2 linked regions of the Rattus norvegicus genome follow. The protein of the gene in region 1 interacts with the protein of each later gene in a biochemical or structural test. Links are inferred from orthologs where the notes say so. Each region holds a gene or a part of one and is shown on either strand. Other genes may lie near its edges.

Region 1 (4,010 bases):
CTTTCTCCCTGATGCCCCCACTCCTTGGACATTTTGCTAACTACTCTTGTTCACTTCTTGCAACCCCTTCTCCATGGCCCAGTCCTCCTCCTTCTGAGTCAGGTCTTGGTATCACATCACCCTCTCTGTAGTTATTGTGTATGAACAACCCCGGTGTGGATATTTTGTTCATCTCTGATTCATCATAGCAATAATTAGTATCCCTTACCTGACCTCAGCTAAGACTCTTCTCTCACTTTCTGCAAAGACACGGCTACTGTTTCTATTTCACTTACATCTCCTCCTGGACCTTCTTTCCTCTGCCTTGCTTTTAAATGCCAGCCTTCTGTAGGGTCCTGGCTCAGCTTCCCTGCTCTCATTTTATACAATATTTTTTAAAAGTATTTTGCCAATTCCTATGGTTTCTGGTTCTCCCCCCCAAAGGTGAAGACTTGCCAAGTCTATGTTTCCAGCTCAGATCTCCAAGGTAAGTTCCAGATCTCAGGATTCAACAGCTTTGGTGAGTAACCATCAATTTTTGAACTCTATGGGCTCCAAATTGAGTTTATAATAATTCCCTCTTTCAAAACTGTTTCTGCTCCTTCGTTATTAGGAGCTGAATGTAGGGCCTTGCCGTTGCAAGCAGGTGCTGTAATATGAAATGCACGTCTAGTCCCCCTCCTTGGTTGTCTCTCTATGATATGCCATCCACATCCTTTCAGTTGCCTAAACCAGAAACTGGATCTCATCCCTTGACTTCATCCACCCTCTCTATTTCTAATCAATGTTTAGGTTCTGTTGACTCCGTTTCCAGAAGTCGCTCTTGGGTCCGTCCACTTCTTTGCATCCTCACTGCCAGCCTCTCCATCTGTGCTAGCATCATCTTCCAGCCAGATTTGTGTAATGCAATAGCTTTCTAAAGTATCTTTCTGCATTCTATCTGAATCTCAACACCATGCAATCAATCCTGGCAGCACTATTTAGTGGATCCCAATGCCTCAGGAGGAAATCTACACATTATAGCAAGAGCTATAAAGCTCCCCAAGCACACTCTAGGTTGGTTTACACTGTTATTAGGAACCTTCAAGGGTACATGTTCCAGCATACAAAAACTGTGTTATACTGAACAGACATGCTATAGCCTTAAACTTTGAGCTTTTGAGACAGGATATCTTTCTCTAAGACATTTTATGCCTCTTCTGCTCTGTCACTTGGTTCTCTGTCATATTTCCCTACTTGATCACATCCATACCCCAGGAAACCCGTCTTAATCCCCAAGGGCAGAGTAGGCTGGAGATGTCCCTTTTATATATCCACAATGCTTCTTCTCTTTGTGCTACCATTCCTGGCTTACTGTCTGTTTCCCCTATAAACTCAGAGCTCCATGAAGTAGGGTTTTCGTCAGTTTTGTTAAATGCGTATCCTTGTTGCCTAGCAGTTTCTGGTCCAATAAATCTTTCCTGAGTGAAAGAGTAAGTGACAGTGGGTAAAAGCCAAACTGAGAAAGCATGAATTGTTTCATGGGCTGAGTAAATACGTAGGGTATAATTTAACAATGTTTACTTCTTGAACATAGAATCCAACTCCTTCCTTTTCCATTTACTGAACCCGAGCTCCCAGGTTCCACCCTCAGTGAAGTTACTAGACTCCCCAATTCCTTTGTGTGTCCATATTCCAATCAGACCCTCTGTGGGATTTCTAGGCAGTGATTTTCTCTGTCCCTGTGTACTTGGCTGCAGACTGCTGAGACTGCAGACTGTGTCTAGTTCGTTCAGTGTTCCCAGCACTAAGCCTAGTAAATGTTCATTAAACATTGCAAACAAATATGGGGATGGAAAGGGAACATGCATTTTAAGATGTTCATTGAAGCAATGAAGATGCTACTGATGGGAGGAATGAGTCATTTGCAGCCGGGATGAGGGAAAGCAGTAGGAAGGGAAGGTGACACAAAGGAATGGGGTGACTGTTGCCAGGGGAAGTTGGCTCTAGGCAAGTGAGAAAAGGGATACTTGGGGCGCTGTGGAAGGGACTCAGAGACCTTCAGAGTGACAGAGAAGACATGCAGATGGGTGGAGGACTTGACCCTGGGAACAGAAGAGTTTGGGGACAAATGGAACAAGAAAGGTAGCATTCCCTTGTGCTGGTTAAATTCAGATCTGAATGTAGCCCTCTTTTCTTGGGAAAGGTTGGGGTGGGGTGGGAGACTATTACAACTCTTATCTCCCATTCAGGCAGTCCAGAGAGCTTATGCCCTCACCGGCCCAGCCCTCCTTTGCCCTTCATTCAGAGGTTCCTGTCGCTCTCTCTCCTTGGTACTGGCTCTGTGAACTGGATGTTAAAGGAAAAGAAAGCTAGACCTGCTGACAAGAAGAGGTCCTTGTTTCCCGGCTGTGTGATGCTGAGCTCGGGGATGATCTGAGTAGCTATGGCAGAGCAAGTATGAAGTCGGGGGTTTTGAACCATGATGGGAAGGTGTTGGAGTTATGAGAGCTTGGGAGCGCAGTGTGTGAAGGGGGGGGGGGGGTCTCTGTGTGAGTCGCGGAAGTCCTACAAAGGAAAACTATGGGCAGCTGACAGAATAGAGGTCAGAAGGGTTCTTGAATAATGCTGTGGGGTTCAGTGAGAAGGGCTTAGGGAGGCACCCACCTCTGGTCCCGGTTCCGCGGATACGAGGGGGTTCACAGCTGAGGTTCCCGGCACTACTGCTGTTGAGAAGGGAGACACCCGGGCGGCACAAAGAAGACCCCGACCCGGGTCCTGGTCCCTGCACGCTGCGGTTCAGCTTGAGCAGCTCCATGGCTCCAGTGAAGTCCCACTTAGCTCTGCTAAGCGAGCTCTAGCACCGGTTCCACCTGCTCCCGCGGCGCTGGTGGCTCAGGCTCCCGCCCACCACATCGCCCGCCCCTCCTAGTTTCCGCCCCCTGCCCTGGCCCCAACTCCTCCACTCCCCCACCAGCCTCCCCTTAACCTCAGCCGGTTCCAGGCTCTAGGCGGCTTTTTGTCCCACCAGGTGACTCTCGGCGCGCCTCCTCGGCTCCAGAGTTCAGCGCGCGCTCCTGAGTGACTGCTCTCCAGGCTCGCCCCCGCGCTAGTTTCTCCCTTCTTCTCTTAAAGATGCCTTTTCTGCCCACCTCTTATACCAATGCCCCTAGTTCTGGAAGAGTGTGTGTGTGTGTGTGTGTGTGTGTGTGTGTGTGTGTGTGTGTGTGTGTGTGTGTGTTTACACGTGCGCCTGCCGGAGGGATGGGGTGATGGGAGAGTGAGTAGCTACTGTGGAGTCCAGCATCTTTCTTTGGTGGTTTAGATGACGTGGTGATGGCGGTGGTGATCCGGTTTTGCGTACCAGGCTCCCCTGCTACAGAGCAGGTGCCTTAGTACGTTTGGAGCCGCAGTTACGGAGTTCTGCCGCAGTGGCCGCAGTGATCGCCACAGTGTCAGCTACCTTAGCTCTTTGGTGAGGATTAGCTTCTGCCTTGGCATATCCCACCTCCTATCTGAAACTCCAAACCTAGGCTTCTTCTTCAAAGACTCTAAAGAGGGTCCTGGAGGGTCGCAAAGAAGACAAGGAAAAGGGTTGGAGTGAACTAGGGCGACCGGGAATTGAAGTGAGAACTGCTCTAAATGAACTGAGTTGAGGTGTGGTACGGGTTCTGGTATGGGTTCTAGTTCTCGCCCTGACCAGGGTGAAAGATAGGGAGCAGGCAGCGTCCCTCGTCTTTAGGCAGCGTCCACCCACACCTAAAACGACGATGCTCCATTTGCTGTCAGCATAGGTGCAGCACCGGGGTAGGGTGTTGGGTTCCCATGAGAGGGGGCCAAGGGAGGACTGGGTCACTGGGTTGTGGCAGGAGAGAGCAGGGAACAAAGTCGAAGGCGCCTCTGGTGTGCAAGAAGGCTCAAGTGGACTCTGCTTCCTTAGGCAGGACTGGCCTCCTTTTCTTTTTCAGCCTTGTTTCTACCAGTCTCCTCCATTCCAAAGAAATTCTGGTGCAATGTGAAATATCTTTTGAGATCCCAAAGTGGCTATCAGA
Region 2 (4,012 bases), on another chromosome or scaffold:
CTGCTCGCGGTCTACACCAGAGAGCAGATCCTACATGAACGATCAGAGGGAATGGAGACGGGGAACCCAAGGTTTCCAGGTTTTCTCATTATCCAATTATCTATCTATCCATATCCATCTCTCTCCATCCAACCATCCATCCCATCCATCCATCCGTCCATCTATATCCATCTCTCTCTATCCATCAATCCTATCCATCCATCCATCCATCCATCCATCATCCATCCATTCATCCATCTATCTAATCTCCCTTCTTTTCTCCCTCCCTCTTCTCCTCCCTTCCTCCCTTTCCCCCTTCTTCCTTCCCTCCCTCCCTCCTCTCTGTTGAATTAGCAGGAAAATAACCTAGAAAGGGGCGGCTGTAGCAGGAGTTCCAAAACAGGAAGAAAAGTAAGAAATCATTTCGTTTTCCCAGATCTTATCTTCCTGTGAAACTCTAGGAGACTCAACCAGGCTCCTCAGTTTCCCCTCACCAGTCAAGCCACACGCAGTCAAGCCAGGCAGGGTCGGGGAGCCATGGGCAAATTGGGTTACTGAGCTCCACAAAAAGGATGCCCACCTCCTGTGTTTTAATCCAGCTCTACTGGTCCAGGTTAACACCCACCCAGAGGTCACCATCCATGCCACTGTGGATAAAGTCAGATGAGAGCTGTTGGGGCAAGCCATGACGTCTGAAGGCTGCCCTTGGAATCCCAGAGCTGGGAGGGGAACTGAGTCGCTCTGCTCTCAACTCTTCTCTAAAACTGAGAGGTTCGGGCACAGAAAGAAACATTCAACTGGCAAGGTGTGGACTCACCCATGGGATTCATGGAAAAGGCCTCCCAATGTGGAGAGGCTCGGCTGTCTTCAGCACTGGGAACATCTTTCCAACAGCGATAGAAAGGCAAAACACAGCTCTCCCTGTGTGGTCATCCTCCTTTGACAGTCAAAGGAATGCTCTTCACCCTTTGACCCTTTCCTCCTGCTCTGTGCCGGGGGAGAGGTGCACAAGGCCAACTGCTTCTTTTCAGATCTCAGGCTGTCTCAACACCGACCCCACTTCCTGCCAGAGGGTTTCCCTAGTCAGTGTCTGGTGGTTTCCAGTTCCGTTGCATAGACACCAGAGGGGATAGGACAGATCTGAAGATTCTTACCAGCACTCGATTATTTTTTAATGTTGTCCTAAAACGGTGTTATACTTCATCCCTGAGACCGTGTCAAAATCAGTTCAGAAAAGGGTCTGTTAGCCCGCTTCCCTGACTAGGTAAGCCCTCTGGCTACCTCCTCTGTGAACACCACCTGCCTACTGCACAGCGCAGTGCAGCGTACCACAGGAAAGAAAAGTGAAAATCTTGCTCCTTGTGCGTACCCCGTTTCCTCCTCCCAGCCGGTGGAGGAAAGGATAAAGATTGGAGCCGCGGCAGAAGCCTGAGGGGGAGCGGACATCCTTACCTTTGCGGACCTGCTGGATGTATCGGGCTAGCAGTGCGCCCAGGCGCGCTCGGGGCTCGCTGTCCGGTCGGAGCACAGCCCTCAGCTGCCTTCGGGGCGCCTCCTCCGCCCGCTGCTCCATAGGGTCCACAGCTTCTACAGGGACTACCGGCTGCGCCAGGGCGCCTGCTGCCAGGACTGCCATCACCACGCACAGACACACGCCGCACTTCATATCTATGGGAAGCAAAAGGCGAGGAGCGTGAACCAAAGGCTGATCTCGGCGGCGTGCTCCAGCCCAAAGTCCCGCACACAGAAAGTTGGCTGAGGCTGAACCTGGGGGCTACAGCTGCGCCAGACTGGCTCAGCTGTAGCCAAGAGAAGTCTCTAGCTGCGCCCTGGCCACCACGCGCCTCGGGACATTTCTGTCTGGCTTTTGTGTTTCCCACACCCGGAACCTGGGAATCTAGCAGAGACCCGATTTACTGCCCCGTTCAGAAGCAGCGCCTCCTCCTGCTTTCCTGAAGTTCCAGGACGCCTTTGTAGCGTATCTCTCTTCTAACCAGAAAAGCACAGAGTGAAGCGTGGGGGTGGGGGTGGGGCAGTAAGCGAGAGAGAGACAGAGACAGACAGAGATGGAGACAGAAAGACAGAGACAGGAACAGAGAGAGGAGAGGAGAAGGAGAGATACTCCTGGAGAGAAATGCGGGAGATTTAATTTATTCACTACATTAGAAATGGCAGGACAATGGGAATCACTGTTTTAAGTGTGCGCCCATAAAGAGAAGCTGTATTTATAGAGGTTCTTCTGCGTTTTACGGAAAGCCACTATGCAAAACAAAAACCCAGAAATCTGCGCCCAGTCCTCAGATGTGGCCAAAGCCCCGCTACGTTTAATAACTGAGCAGATGGGTCCTGTATCATAACGATGTGTTTCTATTCCCCAAACCTGCTTTTTCTTTTTTAGTGCAGCATTTAAAAATGGACATAAGTCTTAACACCTTTAGGTAGTTTCTTTTAAATGATTGCATAGTGCTCCGAACAACAGGGAAACCCTAAGAATGGCTATCCCCATCCTTGCCCTAGCCAGAGAACACAGAGGAGAGCAAGTCTCTCCGCAGCAGTACCCACCCAGACGCATTGTAAGGTTATTTCCGACTTCAGGAAATCTTTCCAGCTGTCAAGTGAGGGAAGGCACAGAAAATGGAAAGACTAAACGGCAATAGATGCAAAGCTACAGGCCAGTTCTTCACACTCATGATTCTTGGATCTGCCAGCCACTTACCTTCGGATGCGGAGTCAGCTGGCTTGGCGGTTTCCAACGGCTGCTGTCCAGCTAAGTTGAGGGCAGGCGGCAGGGCGACTCCTCTTAAATAGCCCCGCCCGGTACTCAGCCAGTCATCTGTTTACCCAGTGCTGACGCAGTCCGGCAGGACACGTGCTCAGAGGCAGCCACTGGAGAGACCACCGATCGAAGTGGCCCCCCGGGGAGAAGGGAAACGGCCCAGTGAATGAGGATAGCCCCTCCCAGGCGGGGTACTTTGTATGAGTCCTCCTCTTTATCTAAACAGCTTCCTCCCCACCTGTTCGGTGCCTCTGCTGAGTCCTCTTCAGGGAGGGTGCCACCCCTACTCCCGGAGAGAAGCAGGAGTTTGTCTGGAATGGAGAAGCTGACCACTGTTTAGTGAGCTTTGAGGGATCAAGTCCTTCCAGGAAACCGGGGGACCCTCACAGACTAGGTGTCAGCAAATGTAATTCTGGCATGTTCTCTGGGAGCACTTCAGACCTGAGTGGGCTCCCACAAGTGAGAGAGGGGAGTAGGGCTCTCAATTTTTCAGAACTCAATCACAGTTGGCCTCCTGGATTCTAGTCTTACAGAATTTTAAGATCCTGGGTGCAGCTCTTGCCTTTTGTGCGGAAAGCCTTTGGGGAAAAGGTTTCCATTTCTTCCCAGGATGACTTCTCACCAGTCTACCATCTACCGATGATTTTGGTCGCGAAGTGGCGCCAGAGAGTGTCTCAAGCACCCTCAGGCTCTGGCTGGCTGACTGGAGCGGGCTGGGCTCGCAACATCCAGGGGAGCTTGCAATGATCTTCCCGTCCTCTAGAGTTCTTCCTTTCCTCTAGAGTTACGGGATTCCACTGGGTGGTGAGGATCTTGGCTGAGATACTCACCGAGCAAGAAGAAGAGAGGGGCTCCCTTTTCTCACAGTCTTGCAACCCTCAGCCTACCCTCAACCTTGCCAGTCTAGGGTGAAGGAGAAAGGCTTAGAAACTCTTTCTAAATAGAGAAGGCACCCAGCGTGGGGCCTTCCGGCTGAGGGAGACTATGAAAAGGCAAGTGATGCCAGCAGTAGTTAGGTTCCTGGTTGTGGCTCTAGCGGTCTCTTTACTTAGAAGCAACGTGTTTAAAACAGCAGCAGATTAAATGCTGTGGGGTGATCCCCCCCCCCCCATGACACAGCTCAGGTTGTAGGAATTAGCTGTATTTGTGACGGACCAAACATGTCTGGAAACGTGAATAATGCGGCTTAGCGCGGGGCTGTTTGTTCACTACAGTCAGAATCGACAAGCGCTGACCTTTCCTGGGCCTGTGGACTGA

The links. The genes of interacting proteins can lie anywhere in the genome.
Region 2: the proteins of Cckbr (region 1) and Cck form a complex in vitro, tested with the Homo sapiens proteins (3 studies listed by BioGRID). The link is inferred for Rattus norvegicus from reciprocal best matches to the Homo sapiens genes CCKBR and CCK.

The regions. Positions count from the first base shown.
Region 1 is NC_086019.1:169,182,379-169,186,388, reverse strand, and holds the start of Cckbr (gastrin/cholecystokinin type B receptor), read right to left. Parts: upstream 2,812-4,010; 5' UTR 2,777-2,811; coding exon 2,626-2,776; intron 2,417-2,625; exon of another isoform or gene 2,211-2,416; intron 2,104-2,210; exon of another isoform or gene 498-2,103; intron 1-497. UniProt on the Homo sapiens protein: Receptor for gastrin and cholecystokinin. The CCK-B receptors occur throughout the central nervous system where they modulate anxiety, analgesia, arousal, and neuroleptic activity.
Region 2 is NC_086026.1:130,034,795-130,038,806, forward strand, and holds the start of Cck (cholecystokinin preproprotein), read right to left. Parts: upstream 2,804-4,012; 5' UTR 2,696-2,803; intron 1,648-2,695; 5' UTR 1,646-1,647; coding exon 1,432-1,645; intron 1-1,431. UniProt on the Homo sapiens protein: This peptide hormone induces gall bladder contraction and the release of pancreatic enzymes in the gut. Its function in the brain is not clear.